Oreochromis niloticus: one gene and its partner. The protein of the gene in region 2 interacts with the protein of the main gene of each other region in a pairwise test. Links are inferred from orthologs where the notes say so. Each region holds a gene or a part of one and is shown on either strand. Other genes may lie near its edges.

Region 1 (10,316 bases), on a different chromosome or scaffold from region 2:
CTCTCCTCTCTTCTTACATAACACTAGACCATTACTCAGCACAAACACATAATAAACAACACAATCAACAACACTGAGCTGGACAACAGACCACACATGCAGTGATAACAGTGCAAAGCAAAGATTCACCCAGGCCAGGTGCCCAGTGTGGGGCACAAAAAGAGGTTTCATGGCGACAATGGAAAGCAGTGATTTGGTGTCAATTAACCTGAAGTTTTGGACTCAGTTTCTAAATCAGTACGAATAATGGCAACTTATTTTCCATGATCTTACTCATAGTTGGTACTGAAAGTGAAACACAGGCACAACTTAGCGCCACTGATCTTTAACTTTTTACTTTATCCCCCTTAATGGGACGTGATACAAATACTAGAAGTTAAATGTAACCAGAGCGTAGCTGTGAACAGCTGTGTTTATTATTTTGCATAATTTCTATGAATTCACGTGAGTCTTCCTGTGTTGTCATCCATGTGCTTGTACATCAGCCTTCCGCTTGTTTGTGCTCACAGGAGAAAAACAACAGTAAACACTGAACACTGACAACCACAACACTTAAAGCACTAAATGGTGGAGGTGCTTCTTTAATAGTTTCTACTGTTATAACAAAAGAAATCATAGGAACAAACATGAAAAATACAACAAAAAAAAGATAGAGATGTTTAGACTCCAGTGTAAACTAAAGCCATTTCAGTTGTGTGCCACAGATTTATCTAAACAGACTGCTTCCATTGTCTTTGACTAAAAATTGATCCCGGGATGCTTTCGAACTGGACAAATCAATTCGCAAACGAGCCTCTAAAGCAAAGCAGGATGGGACTAATTCTATTGGCATGAGGCCGTCATGCGTAGTATTGCAGCTGTTTGTGTCAGTGTGCGTTTTCAGAGCCTTCGGATTTTTAATGTGTGCACATGCCACCTTTCAAGGTAACATAAACAATGCCAGAAATGGAAATGACCACTAATTCTTGTAGATTTGAGACAAGTATTTTTAATGACCCCCCCACTCCCACCCACACATTATTCTGGATCTCCTGCCATTATCTTACTACTTTATTGTGCTTTCATACTCTTCCACTTCCTGTCATCCCATCTTTTCCCACAGTGTTAGGAGAATGAGAGATGGTGATTGGCACATACTGCTAACAGAGGAGAAGTGGCCCTGCGAGCCCCTCCTCCACTGTTGCTCCCTCCATCGCTGAACTTGTGGACCTGCCTGACCTGGGTGCTTTTGTAAGCTCTTAGGCTTATAACAGTAATAAAAAGGATACACATCCACGGGATAATGTAGACTGTGGGGATCACTGAGTAACACAGGAAGCTACTCACTTGCAGAATACATGTCAGTTCATGCTTGTGTGATGCTGTGTATGTTTCCAAGCACGCATATGCTAATCTCACAGAGGGGCTCTGATCTCATATTGATTATAGCATTGATAAATGATTTGGTAGAAGGTTGCTGTTGATTGGCTCAGACATTCTTTAGGTAAAACTAATTTCTGCAAAAAATGACTTTAAAAAATCAAACATTCATTTACAATAACTAAAACGATTCATCCAAATAAATAGGGCATAATTAGTTAATTATATTTCATTTATTGTCTTATTATAAAGACGTAAAAACTAAAACTTGCCACTTAAACACATATATATGTCCACTTGCCACTGTTTCTAATGTCATTTAATGGGTTTTAAAGGAACACCTCTTACAGCAGAGCTTCACCACATTGCTGTTGAAAATACAGAGATAATGAGCCTGTTTACAACATCCTACACAGCACTGAGCCAGCTTCGTTTTCAGAGAAGCAGAAAAGGCCTCTTATGATTATATTATATCTGTTATTTCTCTGGCTTTTCCAGGCCGGGCGATGGCGTGACATCATCTTCGGTCAGGGCTTCAGGAGCTGTGGCTATTGTTAAATGATAATTACCACGGCTCATGAGGGGCCTCTATTTTTTTAAAACCTTGTGGTTGTGAGCACGTTTCTGTGCAAGGGCAGCCGAGACTCCACACACACAGACGCGCGCGCACACACAGGTTGGGAGTGGGGGCCGCACGGCCCACACTGATTTAATTCTATCTGACAAAACCCTTTGGGGCGTGCAGAGGGAGAGAGGAAGATGGAGAGCGAGGGAGAAAGAGAGAGATAGACATGGTAAAAAAGGGGTGAGAGAGACGCTTCAGGGGCCTCTTCTGCCAACCATGGCTATAAAGTGAAAGCAGGAGCTTTTGGTATACCCCCCCAAAGCCTCCCATGCACGAGAGTAGTCGCAAGGCCCATTAAAATGTGGATAAAATACAAGGTGTGTGACAGAAGAGTTTGCCATGGGATTGCAGACAGAGGGTGAGAGGAAAAGATGTTTGGCCTTCTCCTGTCTTTTCTTTTTTTTGTTTTCTTGCCTAAGGTTTGATGGGCTGGAGCTGAGGCAGCAGATAGCTTTACATCTTTACATGACATGGACACATGAATAGATTGATGTTTGACCTTTTTTCCCCAAGTAATAACTGCAATAAAATAATCCGATTACAGAGGTTTGTTGGTTAAATCATTATTTATCATCATAACTAATAATCAGGTTAAAATAATGGTAACGCAAGTTTGCTTAATAATTATTTTAAACCGATTATTAGGCCTGTCTTCTTTTCAGAACATACATACAGCGGAAAAATATGATAACATTATTGTTCCATGTAAAAAAAACAGTAATGAGTATTTTATTTTTAAGCTAAAAGCTATAAGCAGCATTTTAATTTGACAAAGCACAGGCCGTTGATTTCTGTGCCATGCCTTTACTTTGAAGGCGACTTTGTAGCCTTTGATCAAAATTTTCCAATAATTTCTCACCTCCAATATAGGAACATTCAGGCATCATAAAGGCCACCTCATAAACTAATTAACTTATTTCTGAGGCCAGTAAGAAGCGGTCCGGCCAGTTAAAACAGATTGGCTTATAAATTAGAGTTCAAACCATCCAGCTGAACGAGTGTTGCAACTTTAGCGCCAGCGGTAATTGCACAACGTCGAGAGTAAATAAAGCGAATTCCAAAACACTAAGCTGATAATAATAAGGTTAAATATTAAAGCCTTCGCGCTGGACTTTTAATGACCGATGAACTGCAAATAGTCATGAAGGAGAAACGAAAAACGCGCATTTTCTGCTGTTAACGGAATTTAAACGTCGAGCGAAAGGCTAAGAGCAAAATGACCTGTGCGCGAGCGTGTCCCTGTGTACCACCGTGCGCGAGACAGGTCTTGGTTATTGCGTGCGTGCGCGTGAGCGTGCAGAGGACGGCATTGATAATGAATTTCAACATCCTCAGCGCGGCGCAGAGCGTCGTGGAAATGGGTTAGTGGAGCGCTTGAAAGTGCACATCCCTGAAGCATTCAATAAAGTTTACCACCAGAACATAACGGAATAAAGTTTTTTTCTTCTGCACATGGGCTAATCTGATCCGATCTACCACCCTATCCGCAATTTCCGCCGGTGTGGAGTGGAGCTCAAATGATTAAGCTAAATATAATGCGGCACTTTTAATTTCCAATCCCAGACTCCAGTAAAATTTGCAGGAACGCGGGCCTGTTCCACACACACGCTCCTGAGTCAAAACACACACGGAGAAGGATCCAAATAAACTTTTACAGACTACTTAAGGTGGCTGATGAGATTTCAGAGAACTCCAGACACACTGCTTTGAGCTTAACATTGGATAAAAAAGAGACAAATTCAGATTTTCGCCTAAACCTCCCAGAATAAACTTTCAAAGCTAAACGAGTGATAAAAGCTCGTAGTGCTGTGTGTGTCTGTGTTAAGTGGGAGAAAGTGCGAGCACAGTGGGATGGTCTTACCTCGCATCGTGTCGGCGTTGCTGGAGCTGGTGCTGAGGCTCGCTTCCCAAAGCAGCAGTCATGAAGAAACAAACACTTAAAATAAAAGAAGGGGCTGCGGGGGGTGGTGGTGAAAGATCCTCGGTTAAAAACAACAACGAAAGGAGTGTAGATGATGTGCGTCGACGTCCACTGGCTGCCCTGAGTGGAAGCGTCTCTGCGCTAAAAGCATCCCAGAGCGGGGCGCAGGGAGGCGGGCTGAGGTCGGTCGGTGCGTCGGTCTGTGCGCTCTGGTTGTGTGGCCGCTTTTCTCATGATATCTGCGCTCTCACCTCTATGGGAGGGTTTCACTATTTTCTGCGGGCTGAGGGAGGGAAGAGCGTATAGGAGAGCTTTACCCGGCGGCCCGGATTGGACTGGAGCACTTTCCGCTCCTCCCACTCTCTCCTTCTCAGCCTGCAGCCTGGAACCTGCACACGCAAACACGCGCACACACATGCACAACCCGAACCCACTCTTAGTGCGAGACACAGGCAGTCTCAGCGAAGTTTTTAACCTCACCTTCCAATTACAACACTCTTATACGATTAGGGCAGTTTTCATCTATACACATAAACAGTCTTTGATCTGGTCTCGTATTTATAGAGATCTAACATTCTGCCCAGCAAGAATAGATCCCCTGGTTCTATTTCGTTTTTACTGCTTTAATAAAATCCATAGAAACACGCACTAACAAAAACACTCTCTCAGTATCGGTTGACTAAAGTAATCTACAAGTCCAGGCTTATAATTCTGCAGAACCTTTCAAATGGCTGCAGAGTTGATTTTATGAGTAAAAATTACTTTTTGTGTGCAAAGCAAAAGTTTAAAAAAAATTAAATTTAGTTAAAAAAAGAAGTACAATTTGCAACTAAATGAGAGATATGCATTAGCCTGATAATGACAGAAAATAAAGAAACATGATTGCACTTAAGTTTAAACCACATTCACAAAAAATTCCTTTAAAAAATGTTTAAAAGAATTTTTAAATATGAACACACACACACACACACACATTGTCCCAATTGAATGGAAGCCTTTCTTTTTTCTTTCTTTCTTTTTTTAATTTATTGAATTGTTAAAACTTTAACAGTTTTTGCATATGTGCATGGATCACTGCACCCAGCAGGATACTTTGTCACTTCAACCTCTGCAGATGTTCACACTGAATCATAGTGATTGCACTAAATAACACAGCTAAGATTCTTATATCAGTTATATTGAAGGTGATTATGTTTAAAACGACGATAAAACATTTTTTTTCTCTCCAAAATACTCATAGAAAGGTGAAAATAGCTTATGCAATAAAAGAAGTGCAGCTCAAATAACAGTAGTCATCTCAGGTGTCTCGGGGAAGATTTTCAGGGTGGGGTGCTGTCCTTCCTCAGAGAATCACTGAAATGCTGAACTGGACAATGAAAGAGAAGGTCTGTGTTCTGTGACCATCACTGCACTGTGTGTTGACTGAGCAGGTGTATGCTGCAAGGTATTAAAATGTCTGCGTGTCTGATCAAAACCAGCCAGGTGCTCTGAATTTCTAATCATGTTGATAACTGCGTTAACTAATTTTGCAGGATTATTTTAAATATGCAAACTTACAATTTAAGGTTGTTTTTTTTTTTAACCAGCAGGATTTTACTTTCAGGGAAAATTCAAAAGTTCACGACCCAGTCACGACAATCAAAACGTGAGTATCACAATGATGGATTAAATAAATATATAGAGCAGGTGATTGACTGGTTTGTAAAGCCATTGTAGCCAGTGCTTTATACACTTAGAAAACACTGGTGTCAGTTGCTTTATCTTCAGATGGCAAAGCTTTAACACAGTAAAAATTGTGAAATAGTGTTAGCAGGACATGAGATAATGCTTCTAAAAACTTGTTATAAAGTCATTTAAGGTAACATATGATCTTTTCTGGTGAATTTTCAACTATAAAGGGACAATTAAGCCATCTGTCTCCCTTTTTTATGTTTCAGTGTTTGCCAGCTGATTTACAACCTCAGCACACTCTCAAACTCATAGAGGAAAAACCTGCCCCCCACCCTCCCAAAGCTAATCTTTGACCCTGGACTGACTCATGGTGACCTCTGGTGTGCTGTGCTTCATAAAATATTAACAAAATGTGAAGAAATGAAATGAAACTTCAAAAAAAAAAAAAAAATCAAAATGATAAGATGATAAAGAAGTGAGTGTCTTTCCACTCAATGCTGAAAAGAGCCACCCTTGTCAGTCACAGTTAGCATCACACTCAGTCATAGGCATCTGCCATCAGAGTGGTTTTCTAAAAGGTAACGCTGCTTCTGTCAGTGTGTGCAAGATGGAACGGAGGCAGGTGTGTGTGTGTGTGTGTGTGTGTGTGTGTGTGTGTGAGAGAGAGAAGCACTTTCACCCCTGGTCTCTTTTAGCCTCTTTTGCTCTGGCCCTGGGAGAGACACACACACAGAGAAACAGAGAGAGAAACTGCCCCAAGCACATCTCCACTGACCTACATTTCATCCGTCGCTTTTTTCCACTCTTCTTTTTTTTCCATCTCTTATTTCTCCCGTACCAACAGCTCCATAATTGTGATGTAATGACCAAAGCAAGCGTGATAAAATCGCAGACTGGTCAGGGTGAAACACTCTAGAAGACAGGCAGACAGGAGAACGAGATAAGGGCAAGACGAGATAGAGAAAGATAGACGGGGCGGGGGAGAGGAGGGTCCAAAAAACGATTCGGGGGGTGAGGGGTGTCTTAAGAATACAATAAAGGTTTCTCCCCATTTTGTCAATGCAATAAAATGTGTCTTTATGTGATCTGTGTGCTGTGTGGACTAGAATCCGTCTGAGGGCTGGGGACTCCATTAAGAAGGATTACCCCTCATTGCCAACCATTCACTGTCCTCCCAAAGCCACAGAGATAGCAGAAAAATGACTTTAAACATGAACATAAACTACGGCGTCTGCCGGGCGAGAAATTGTGAACAAGAACATAAAGGTTGCGTTTGATGAGATATAATGGCTGCTCTGCCCATATGGTGGTAAAGAGGGAGGAAGGGAGCAGACTGGGCCATGCCTAAGGGCTGAACTTGGAGAAAGAAGCACTTTCCTCTGAGATGGGATCTCGGGTCCTTCTGCCATTTATGTTTCGCTGTCTGGTTCTGTTGGCTGCAAGATCCCGTTGCTACATCTCTGTCTGTCTGTTCATCCATCTATGGTCCTCCTGCCTTGAAGGACGTCAGGTCGAACTGCTTGGTTGATTGATTGTGGATTTGTTTTGAGATGATCGTGTCTGTCATTATCCTTTCATGCTTGCACCCAGTTGTTTTTTATGCTTTTAATGTCTCAGCTTGTCACTCCCATCCTTCTCTGCTAGGATTTGTGGTTTTTAGAGATATATTTCAATAGTTATTAGATGGACTGCAATGAAATAACCTCAGAGTAAAGCTGGCATTATGCCTCAATCAGTCGTGAAGGCTTACAGCAGAGATACCCTCGAAACAAATAGCACTGCCATCAGCCTCAGCTGTGTTTAGTGCTAATTAGCAAATATTAGCCCTGTAATGCCAAGAGTATCATATTTTATACATTAGTTTGAGACACATCGTTGTGATTTGTTACCCTAACCCACTTATATATTTTATTTTGTTTCATATATGCCAATTGATATTTAATTTCTTTTTTAAATGTATTTGTCAGAAGGTTCAATTAACACTCCAGTTTCAAAAAAATGTGAATTTTCTGGCAATTATTTCATGGTTCAGGCTGTTGGTGGGCTAACATGGTAAACTAACACAGGACGTCGCTTAAGTTCAGCCTCATGGAGCACTTAGCAGCAGATTTCATTCCTGTTTGACTTTTTCAATCTGCAGCATCAAAGTAACACGCAAATCCTACTTAAGCTTTTTATACTTCCTTCACAAAATGTCACTAAATGCATCGCAGTGGTTAACCATCATCAGAGCTGCCTCCTGTGCTGAGGTGATGTTGTCGGTGTCTACGCACACGCGCAACGACACCAAAACAGAGCACATCATGTGTGAACAAGACACCGGCGGAGAAACACGAGAGAAAACGGCAAGCCAGGAAAGAGCTAGAAGTGATATCCTTCTTTCTGTTAAGGCTGTTCATTCAGTGCTGCCCTTGAATCGACCACTAGGAAGTTAACTTATATATAATTAGATAAGTTTCCTCTTGAAAATAAGAAATTAGGCCACAGGTCTCTGAGGAATCTCCCTCTCAATCTGACGACATGTTCCACACTGCCTCTTATTTTCCCCTGAAACAAGCAGGTGATTTTTTTTCCCTGTAAAACTATATATCTGCATGTGCATGTATGAGCATGTGGGTCTGCAGCTTGAGTGAGTGTGCACAGCTACACTAGCAGTGCACTCCTAAGTGTCTTGTTTTATTATAACATATCCTTCTTTGCAGGGACTCACACAGACACACACACCTGCACTATGTGATCGTAAATGTATACTGTCATGCGAGGCTGTAAAATAAAGAGCTTGTTCATTTTTTTTCCATTAGCCCGTGGACGAAATTGTTTCACACATATTTCCTCAGTGTAATGTGACATTGACACATTGACATGTCAAGTGAGAGCTCGGAGAAAAGAGAAGGAAAGCCAAAGAAAAAGGGAGAGATGAGAGATGGAAGAAGAGGACAGAGAGAGAGGGAGAGACTGAAAATACACTTGAGAAATTTGCCGAGAGATACCACAAGTGACATAGGCAATTTCTGTAGAAAAATTACTTCATCATAATTTCAATCCCAAAAAGAATTGAAAGGAAAGCCCTGAAGGAGGAAGGCCAAGTCACCTTGAGAGGCATTAGGGGAAACGCTTACCCACTGCGCACACAGACACACACACTCCTGCAGACACACACTCTGAATACGGTACAGTACAATTTTGAGTCTTCATGCAAATCTGAAACTTTACGCTCACGTCGTTCTGTAATGAGTTACTCCGCTGTTCAGCCACTTTGCCCGCTTCCCTCTTTTTTTTTCTTTTAATACTAGTGTTATATATCTGTGTTAAGTGTTCAGAGCCTGTGGTATATCAGCGTTAAAAATATACAACCTATTAGTCTGGCTGCTACTATTACGAGCATCATCTAATCAAAGCTTTATATAGAGCCAGTGGTTCAGACAAACAGTTTCATGTCTCTACCTCACAGTGCCAATCATCTGATTTTAATTGGATTTCTCTATTATCTGTTTTTTTTCACACAAAGCCATTAAGATATTAAATCTAGTTTTACTTTGAGTCACTCATTTCCCCCTTCTCTCCTCTCTCCTTGTTCCTCTTAATATACATATATATTTAAATATATATTTTTTTTCGTTAGGCATATCGAATATGCCTCTGTAGCCCGAGGCTCTCTCTCAAAATAATTTAGTCGTCGTTGATTTCTCTGGGAGAGCTTAATAAATGTTGACGTTGAAATGGGGAGGAAATTGCAAACGGGGACTGTGTGAGGCTTTCATGTTCAAGGCTACTTGATAGTTATGTTGATTTTCTGAAGCAGTATGTAATGATACAAACCAGCCGAGGATACAGAAACAGCTTTCCGAATCAGCCTCTGCAGTTAATATTCACAGATGGTTTGTGAAAGACGGGTCGGCCTAAAGAGGAACACTCCCCGACATTAGTCTTTATTGAAGAGGACCAAGTCAAAGTGTGCCTGTCAGATTTTAGCGAGCGTGTGCAAATTACACCTTATCCAGAACAATCAAAGATCACGTCGTGTGCTGTTTCATATGTGTGTGTGTGTGTGTGTGTGACGTTGCATTATAATCACATTTCATACCCTTTCTCCTGACATGTCATGCTTTAGTGAATTTGAAGCTTTTTTTTTCTACCTTGCTCTCATGAGACATCACTGGATTGATTTACAGTAATCCCACTCATCAAAACAAACAGATGTATCTTTTATAACCACCTCATTTTAAACCTTTCCAACTCCTACTCCTTGACCTCTGACCCCTTTCCTGTTTATAGGTGTCCAATCCACGGGGGGCTCTTCCAGAAGACCAATAACGGAGCCCAGAGGGACGCCATCCAGAGATCCTCTTACTGTCTGTCGCACAGGGGCAGCACTAAGCATAATATAATCTGAAGGGGAGGGGGAGTGATTATGTGTGTGTGTGTGTGTATGTGTGCGATGATGTGGTTGGGGTGGGTGTGGGGGTGGGAGTGGGTCTGGCCGGCATGTTTTTAACCCCTCCCTTGCCCACATCCCCATCCCCTCCTGTTAATCTGGAGTCTAGCATGTGGATTAGTGGATACTCTGCAGCGCCACTGTTTGACAGAACGCACCGTGTCCCACAGGGTATATACGATTACGTCTTTAAGCAGTTTACATTCACGGCTCTGTGAGAATATTGGAGTTAGCACATTGGCTAATGACATCCTATGCAATCTGAGTGCTGGCACATGCTTCGGCACTGCGGCCTGATGCGTGTG
Region 2 (10,201 bases):
TGAGTCTCATTGACTTTGGCTGCCTTCTGCTCGTGACAGAAGCAGGAGCGCTGTCTCTGAATGAGACACAGCGGCTCGCTATGACTGAGAGCAGAAATCTTTTAAGTGGGAAGACACCACAACTGCCCCCACGGTGATGTCATTTCCAAAAGCAACAGCAAACTTCTGTAGTTCCACATCACTTTCTGACTGTGTAGGCATTCTAGGGGGAGAAAAATCGGAGAAGATGCACTGAAAATACACCCCGATCAGTAAACGGTACACATGCATCTTTATGTGTGCTTATCTGCGTGACCCATTTCTGCTTGGTTTAGAATAGCGGTGTTCCAGTAGTAATTTGAATGTCTATTTCAATTCAGCACTGTTGGTTTCCATCAGTCTGTATTTATGCATTAGTCACTCAAGCCCTGATATTTTAGCCTAGTGCTCATTACAATCATTTTCAAGAAATTTGCTTATGTAAAAGCCACTGACAGACGATCGGAGCCAGGGATGCACTGACAGATCAGCTGAATATCGGCCGATAAGTTATCAGCAGATAAGACTGCATTTACTGATATCAGTTTGGGCCTTTAATTGGGGGGGGGGGGGGGGGGGGTTCAGGCTGTAGTTACTCAGATTTTGAATTTAGTATGAAAAATAATCACATTACAAGACAGGAAAAAAAAAAGGAGAAATGTCATTACAGATTACAGGTTGGAGGGGGGGTTTGGCGTGTAGGTAAGGTTTGTGCATTTCTCTAAAAAATGGTAAACATAACAAGAAAGGACCGAAAAAGTATAAATATGGAGTATCGAGCAAACCTTTATTTGTGACACAGGCACTGGGCAAGAATTTGTACGGAAGAGGGGACAGAGAAGATTAGCACTACTTAATAGTAAATCAGAGAAAAGTGATCATTTCAGCTTGTTGATTGAACACAACACTGACTTCTGTCTTGTTAATTAGAGATAAATGTTTCATTCTGACTGTGAAATTTACAGCACAACTGTCACGTGTAAATCTTTTTCCTGTTACAGCAGCACTTCTGACCATTGTTATTAGAAGAGTGTCTGCTGAACAAACAAACGATAAATGGAACAATAAAATGATTTGGTTTAATGCACGCCCCGCGCTGGCATTATGGAGCCCAAACAATTAGAGAAATGAGTTTGTGGCCCAAAGGTGTCTGGTTTTGAATCCTCAGTGGGCCGACAAGAGCGCGGGCCTGTAAGTAGATGAGAAATGCACTTCTGCTCCTCACATCTACTGTCAAAGTGCCCTTGAACAATGTTCGGTGGCCAACAACACAAGTGCTGGGCATCTCCCAGGTCTATAATAAATCAAAAACTCTGCAGTAAATGCATGACACTTGTTCTGGTAGATTGCACATTAGTTTTTCTTTTTTTTTTTTCTTGCTGCCGAGTATCTCAGCAATCAAAAAGCGGACGCCACTCTCAATTTCTGTCCACCCTGTGCTCGTGCTGTGGTCTATGACAGATTTCCAAACAGTAAGAGTTTGAGCTGGCACAGTGGCAGTAGTTAGGGAAGCTGTTAGTAGAGGTAAGTGGCTGGGCAAGTACTCTGTGGAGTCATCCTGTGAAAAAAAATACATTTTATTACAGCGATTTCTCCTTTACATAATTCAAAGTCACAAAGTAGCAACAAGCAGGGGGATTCTGAAATTACTTTGTGTTTTCCACGATGTGCAAAAGAGATGTGCAGAACACACCTGCAAGAGCACACACACACACACACACACACACACACACACACACACACACACTCTCATGTCAAAACTTGCCACTTTCATACAGCAGCAGCAGCAGCGGCGGCGGCGGCAGCAGTGTTTTGATGGCAGATAAGATTCTGCAGTAATGAAAGGCAGCCAGTGGACAAGAGAGGAGAGAGTTCAGAGTCCAGTCTTGTGACTGTTGAGCAGCCTCGGCATCATTTGCATTTGGCCATTTGAATGTCCTCTGGTTCTGTTGCAGGCTACTGCACATCACTCAACAGCAGCTCCCGGGACAACAGCAGATGGCAGAGTCAAATCAAGCCCCGTCCAACACAGAGGATCCTTTGAATTACAGCACGCAGGCCAGACACTCAAACACTCACAAAGCACAACTTAAAAAGTTGGGCTATAAACGTGGAGGTTTTACGTTATCTGTGGCAACAGAGGACAAGTTGAACTACCTTGAACATCTTGTGTAAGTTCAGGTCAAATAATTAAGCAGCTTAAATGTTCAACAAAAGAGAGGCTAAGAGACAGACCCCCAGACACAGGCAGTATTTAGAAGGCTTTAAGAAAGTTTGACTCTTCTCTGCGTTACTTTAGATTGGTAGCCTAAGCAGTTATGTGGAAGGCAGAAAATTAACTGAACCTTTTTTAAAAAGCCTCATATTCCAACATCCAAACAGGTTATTTCAGAAGCTGAACTGCAGCTTGTACTCTGCCCTCTTTCCGGTAACTCTCAGAAAACTTCAGCCCCTGACCTTTTGCCTCCACACGGATCCAAAGTCCAATGAAGCAATAAGATATTTGTGAAAAAAAGGAACACCTACATAAAGGCCACTCAGAAACTCTCGCCGAGAAAACATCCAAGCCTTTGAGATCTATCAAAACACATCTGACATGACGGCCAGGTGATGTGACAGGCTGCAACAGACCAACTTGAAATGATGGGTGTTTTAGTCTGCAGACTAGACTAATCTCTATCAAAGGACCCTGGGGAGGGTAAAGGTATTCAACATTTTCAGAGGTGGTGTAAGTAACAAGCAAAAAAACAACGAGTATTAATGGGAATCACCAACTAAGCCACACATCAAGTGCGCACCTTTTTGAGTGCATTAAAAAAAGCATTACCTTGATTCTGACTGTGTAATAAAGTTGTTGTAGCAACACTGCTTTGCAACATTTTTAACAACCTTCGCCTACACTGTGTTTACTGTACATGCTCAGGGGTTAGTGTCACTGTCCCTGCTTTCCCCTGAGTGCTACTGCAGTGACACATGCAAAGTCTTTCTCAATGAATATTCAACCCAAATTCATTTTTACACCCAGTGGACACAGGTGGCTTTTAACACCTTGAAACAATCACATATGAGTCAACTATAAGACCCTTTACGCTCGGAGGGCCATTAAAAATCCCTTAAGACTTGCCAACTGTAATCTACACACCGGTGCAACTGTGAAGCGTTTCCCTTTGGTGGTGCTAAAACTACAAGATGGGGGGCTGTGCAGTGTTTTGACCCGACGTGATGAACTACATTAACTGTACTAACGTTACATTACAGCTGCCGTGCTCCAAGCAGAAGACGGTGCGCACTGTTATTAAATTAAGCCAACGGGTGACATTAGTCATTCGGTGTTCGTGCTGCCAAGCAGACTGACAGCCCAGAATACACTGTGAAAATTAGCAGGAGGGTTTCAGGAGATTCAGAGGCGGTGTGTGCGTGAATGGGGAGAAACATTTATAGAGAAATGCCTCTATCGTGGGCCTAATTTGAGCCACTGATCCGAAGGATACGGGCACTGGCTACCGTCACTGAGCGGCTGTGCGGCTAAATGGAAAGCCACACGGGCAGGTTTATCCCCCGCTTCTTTATGCAGCGATTTCAGCGACACATCCATAAGCGCCCCTGGCCGCCGTGCGACACACGAACAGCGTTACCGATCCCCGACACAAACACACACATACACACACACACACACACACAGAGAAAAAAAGCGCACGATCTAACCACTGCCCGACATACGCGCACCCGTGTACGTTTCCACCCGCAGCAGTATAATAATAACATTGTCCAGACGTGACAGTGCGCTCGTGTACAGATTCCCTTACCTGCGTTCGTCCACCCCACAGTCAGCCGGAGAGGCGCATCGTTATCATTCGACAGGAGGAGGCAAATCCAATGAAAACGGTCGCGACACTTTTGGCAGGAAGCAGAAATGGCGAGGCAGGCTTCGAGGGAGGAAAAAATCAAGTCCGAAATAATTTCTAATAAGCCTCGTTTTGATTTGATATGATTTTTTAATTCTACAAATTAATGCTGCGCCTGTGAGCGAGCCGAGGTGTGGAGCGCGTATTCTGTGGAAATTGTTTATTCTCGGAGTCCCCTCGCTGTGGAGAAGTGAGCGCAGACAGCTACACTCCTCCTCCTCCGCCTGCCGCTGACACCACCCTTAAAGGAACAAGCCTTCGCCGCTGCCCACATACTCCCTCTGCCAAGAAGGAAGCGCTTTTTAACATTAGATGTACAGCAAATGGTCTTAACGCTGTTTTTTTCCATATTAAACTAAGTCATATACACCGCCTACGGTTTGTCTCACACCAAGGGACATACAATCGAAATGCTTAATTAGCAGATTATTATTTAATCATTTAAATTATTAAGAATGAGCTGGGCTAAAATGACCTACCAAGGAGGGGATCTTTTTGGTTACGTCTCATTCTGTCTTACTTTAAAAAAGAATGTTCAAAAAGTTATGAATAAATGCTGATAAAACTTTGTAGGTGTGTGGAGTGGGGTCATGTTAATAATCCAAAATTTCCACCAACATCCACAAAGGTCTTCGAGGTCAAGTTAACAATTTGTTGGCTGAAAACTTTCATAAAATGCCTGTTTTCTTTAAAACCTACTGCCCGTGTTTGTATTGGCAACAAATAAGAAATGATACCGGTATATGGAGATTCTAAATATCACATTATAGCTTGCATCCAAATATCATGTCACGTTTGACCTCTGATCTCATTTTTACATTTCACACCTGCTTTTCTTCAAGCTGAACCAAAATGTGTTCTAACTTTAACGAAAGAACTGTCAAAAGAAAGAGAATGAGCTGCCTGGTTAGTTAGAAACATACTGTAGTAAAATGTTATATAATAATCAATACCTGTTATCCATTACCTGCTGCTACATAATGCTTACATACAAAATACAGCTCTTTTCTCTTAAAAGTGAATATTGCCCACAGAGTGAGCGACCATTCTCAGATTCATTCTTTTTATTATTATTTTTGCTTCACTTTTTTTTTATTACAGCATGTCTATATAAATAGAGAGTGTAATTCCTCAAATGGCCACTTGAGGCTGCCTCAATTCCCAGTTTAACATCCTTATTAAAACTTTACAATAAAAATCACCATTTTTCCAGGTTGGCCTCTGCAGATAGCGTTCACCATTGTAACTATTATGCTGGGAGATTTTTTTCTTGATCTTTTTTCTGTAGCTTAGCATTAGGGGTGAGGGTGCTTTCTTTAACAGGTGGGGCCTTTCTGCAAGGCCTCACCTTCACTAACTGAAGTCACTGAACACGACATCTCAAGTCCACTGTTGGCTTTTGTTAGCCTGTGACTTAGGGCTAATAAGCACATAAATGTATGTGTTGTTGCACCCATACAATTTATGAATGCTGCTTGCTAGCCTTACCCTAGTCCAAGTATATTAACTGGATTCTACATATTGAACCCTCAGTGTTAGCATTTCAGCCATGTCCGTTTTGAAGTGACCCTTCTTGGACAAAGCGGTGGAGTGATGTTATTAGCTAGCTCGCAAACTTGACTTTTGATTTGGTGGTTGATGGTTTCAGACTAATACACTAGAATTTCAATAACAATAACTTTGTGGACGGCCAGTACCATGCAGCACAACATATTATTCGCCTGATAATTCAATTAAAAATGTTCCATAAGGCACCAACATGGTGCAAATATGGCTGAGAGGTCGAGTTCAATAATTCACACAAGTGCAGGTAATAGCTGCTTATAGTGGCACATCCCAGGCCCCTAAATTTAAGCCTAAACCTGATATTTTAAACATATTATAAAGTTTAAAAAAATGTTTTCTTAATGTTGCAAAAGTGGACATTTTAATATGGGAGTCTATTGGTTCACTATTGGAGCCAGCCCCATGTGGTCACTAGAAGAACTGCAGTTTTTGGCACTGGCTTCACTTTGTAGTCCTCAGGGTTGCCACTTGTTCAGTATTTGGCATGAGCCTGTGTTACCTTCTTAAAGCCTTTGTTTTATTTAACTGTATTTGGATGTATAATTTGTAATCTAATTATTTAATACTATCAATATAAGTTGTTCCAAAGGGTTGACAGAATCATGCTTGTAGTAACAAATGCTACATTAACATTAACCACAGTGGTAACAGTTGCAGTTGTAATTGTAACAGCAGCTGGTTTACCTATATATAACAACCTCCAAAAGGTCCTTTAAAATGACAATAATAATAATTTAAAAAAAATTCTTAAAGAGGGACTTTTATGCTTTACTGCACAAAAACTGGTTTCTTTGTAACCAGGAGTGCCACATTTTATTTTCTTTCTCATTTATTATTTTCTATTGTTATTCACATAAGTGCATATGTAATATGGCAATGCCAGAATTGACATGCGGGGGAAAGAGTTAAAAAACAAAAAAAGAAAAAGGGGAAAAATGAGAAAGATTAGAACATAAAGCCTGGATGCTCATGCCTGGAACACTTAAGTGGCCAAAGAAGTCTGGTTAAAATGTATTGAGAGAAATTAGCAGTACAGGAAATGTATGAGCCTGAAAGCAAGTACTTCAAGTCTCCTTACTTTGTCAAAGTGCAACACTAAATTGGTGAATTTCCCCTTTAAGGAAGTGCTTTTTTAAATTTTCCTTAAAAATAGCATTGTAGTAAAAGATAATCCACCATTCACATTTTGCTTTGGAATAAAAATTGCTCTTCCCCTTAGATGAGTTAACAGAAACAGTCCACGTTCACAGGCAGACTACAGTAAATCTAAAAGACTAACATTTCTTAATCTAGCCATCTAAAGCAGGTTCAATTATAGCCCTTCAGTTGGATGGAGGATTAAGTAAGAAGTGCCCTAAATAACCTTGTTGTGAGCATCCCTAAACAAATCATTAGGTTGCTCCATATGAGACTGTCATAGTGCTGGAGCTGTACTGTCTGCCTCACAGTGACCAAGTGGGGAAAAGAACAACATAAATGGCATCACAGCACCTTTGGATATGATGCTGAGATGTCTCCCAGGTGTGTCACTTGACTGTGAAGCAGGGTGCCATTCGCCGAGCAGAAGATGCGCTCATGGAAACTTTTAAAATGTTTCTCGCTCGTCATGATTGTAAACATTGTAAATCTAAACCAATGATTGCGCACCTTATGCTTCCAAATAACCCCCTCTTTTCTTTGTGTCATCTTGTGCTAATCTGTGCTATCTGGTCCACTGGCCTGCAGTCTGTCAACTCAACATGGCCTTGAACAAAATGTCTCTAAGGACCTGGGGAACATTAGTGTTCTGGTGAATGAGAACACAACAACATAACCTACTTCCAGCCATCCCTGTCTCTATTTCCCCTTTTCAAATCCAGGTTTGGGGGGGGCAGTGTGTGTGTGTGAGAATGTGAGCGAGAGAGAAGGATGTATGTGTGTATGTGTGTGTGTGTGTGTTTGTGTGTGTGTGTGTGTTTGGGGGGTGTTGCTCCTCCTCCTCCTCCCACTGCTGTGTTATCACATCATGCTGTGTTATTGGCCACTTGTATTCAGCCAGCTGGATACTGTGCCTTCTAACCTGCGGTAACCCCACTGTGGTGTTTAAACAGTAATTCAGTTCATTGCCAGTAGTATAAACAGAGGCGGCACTCAACATGTCAGTCAGGTAAATTGGATAGTTTTCTTTTACAAGGCTGTTGTTCACAATAGGTGTTACCTGCAATTTGCATTTTGAGTACAGCAGCAGTTAAAAGTCTGAGCAAAGTCCTCGCCAAAGTGCTATTCATAAAAAGTTGATGTTGCTGCTGTTTTTATTGTTGCTGTCTGATTGCGCCACGAGTGCCGCTCAGGATCGCGATTGCGTTGAGACGTCAAAAGTTGGATGAGCAGGCTCCGCTCGGCAATCTGGACGGTATCTTGTACCTTGTAACCTCTGAACTGGAGTGACCTTTCATCTTTGAACTCTGACCCCGAATGCCACATAAATGGAGATACAATATCCTCCCTTTCATTCCCTCCCCCTCCCCCTCCATGCCGAGCAGCACCCGCTGAACTTTGCCCCTGAAGCTTTTCACAGAAATGGGTTTCAGGAAACTCTGTCCTTTGACCCTGAATTACAGGGACAGATTGTGACTGACGAAGAAGAAAAAAAAGAAAAAGTCTGAGGTCCTCATGTGAAAACAGTTTGTCTTGATGTTATTTATGTATGGGATTTAACACATTGTGTGGTGAAGGTTGGTTACAGATACTCACGGACTGGTTGCAGCTGTGTGAGGAAAATAGAAGTGCAGAAAATGGCAAAAGCTTTAAAAAAAAGAGGAAGCTTACCAAGTGTTTGAAAGACATTAGGAAATGGAAGTTGCTGTTTTACAAGACTGACTTTATTGTCTCGTTAACGTGGTGTCTTCTTTAGTGTGTTCAAAAGTGCTGAGCTGTCATTTTGAAATACGATATTATTTAAATATTCAACTGTAGGAAGCAATAAAAGTGAAAACTTTTCCGATTTCAGACTTTTTTTTTGTGCCATAACCACGGCCTCTTCTAGAAGGCTGTTTCTCTAATTAAACAAGCAAATACTTGGCAGTAATTAGTGAAAAAGACGATCTCATTTGGCAAACATATATTCCAAAGCTTTGCACTACGTTCTTAAAATCCGGTAGTGTAGATGGTTCATCTGTGACTCATCTTTTGTCAGTCTGCATGAGTTCACTGAGTGGTCACTGGGGCAGATTATCATTCAAATCTTTGGATGGGATATGCAGATTTGATTTGTTCATCTCTTCAGAAATGAAGTAATCTGACCCCGCAGGACCCTTTGGAATTGGTTTCCCATACATTTAAACTGTATCCCAGTGCATATTTCAAGGTAAAGGGAAAACAGAGATGGAAAACATATGAATCCACGGCCAAGGGTCAGCTCTGCAGCGGCGTCCTCCCGGCCCTGCAGTACAATCAGAGGAGAGTTTAGAGTCAGACGCCCGATTGTCTCAGAAGGCGGGAGGTGGAGAGTCAGCAGACATTAACCCTCCACCTTCGACCTCTACTCCCCAATTTCAGCTGCAGTATCTCCCGAGGTTTGGAGTGAGCTAAAGCCCTCTCGGGGAGGAGGCAGGTGCGAGCTGCGGTGGGAGGGCCCGCTGGAAGTCACACCATACTGTAACCTTTGAACTGGAATGCGTATGAAATGGTTGTGACATTCCCCACGTATACAGCTGCAGGGGAGGTTTTACTAAAACCATATGAGACAGCAAAACCTGCCTGCACACAGACACATGAGGCGTATTTGGATTGCTTAACTGTTCTGCTTGAATGAACGAGGTCAACAAAACAAACAAAGAAAATATTAAAGCTTTATGTGCCACAGCCTGCAATTTACAAGGGAATGTCATGTTATGAATGTGGCATAATAAAGCACGAGCTGGTCTCAACTAATGGATGTAGAATTTAAAAACAAAACAAAACAACAACATCAAAAATTATGGAGGACAAAAAGGCACATAACCTTTCATTACTGTGTATGTGAAATGCACTTTTCACTTATTAAACAATAAAGTATAACAGAGCGGTGATCAGATACAGTCATGCTTCAAACATCTATCACTGATATCACTGTAGGTTTGGAACAAGCAGGAACCTGAGCGTTCAGGTGTGATGCCAAAACTGCAGTTCCTGAAATGGCCACTAGAGGCAAAAAGTCAATTCCCCATAAAAACCTGCGTTAATTTCGTTGACTGATATATTTTTTTTGTACCATTTATTCTGTAAGAAGATGACTACATAAAAACTAATACACAAGGACAAAAAGGATGACAAAATGTATCGACACTGGAAAACGGTACAGCTTAAAAAATAAAAATAAAAGATAAATTGAAAATGATACAACTAACTCGTTTTCTCATGAAAATGAAACAGAATGCCAACATTTGGGAGGAAGACAAAAAAAGACAATAAAATGTCAATAAAAATAAGAGATGCTGGAGCAAAGGGAAAAACAACAAACTTTTACACTTACAGTCAACTGAACCAACTTTAGATTTAATTTGATGATATTTAGTCGACTAAAATGAGATTAAAAGTAAAATCATTTAGACGCCCAAATTATGACTAAAAATAAATAATAAATAAATCCAAGTTCCCTGTTAACATTAACACTGATGTGCAGAAGTTGCATGTTTATAGCAGCGTTTACATTTTGACACCCGTTACAGTGCAAGTACCTTTTAAAATTAGAA

The links.
Region 1: the proteins of nrip1b (region 2) and rorb interact in a two-hybrid assay, tested with the Homo sapiens proteins (2 studies listed by BioGRID). The link is inferred for Oreochromis niloticus from reciprocal best matches to the Homo sapiens genes NRIP1 and RORB.

What each region holds. Positions count from the first base shown.
Region 1 is NC_031977.2:12,081,762-12,092,077, forward strand, and holds the start of rorb (nuclear receptor ROR-beta), read right to left. Parts: upstream 4,220-10,316; 5' UTR 3,853-4,219; coding exon 3,846-3,852; intron 1-3,845. UniProt on the Homo sapiens protein: Nuclear receptor that binds DNA as a monomer to ROR response elements (RORE) containing a single core motif half-site 5'-AGGTCA-3' preceded by a short A-T-rich sequence.
Region 2 is NC_031975.2:3,166,840-3,177,040, reverse strand, and holds the start of nrip1b (nuclear receptor-interacting protein 1), read right to left. Parts: upstream 4,162-10,201; 5' UTR 3,825-4,161; intron 1-3,824. UniProt on the Homo sapiens protein: Modulates transcriptional activation by steroid receptors such as NR3C1, NR3C2 and ESR1. Also modulates transcriptional repression by nuclear hormone receptors.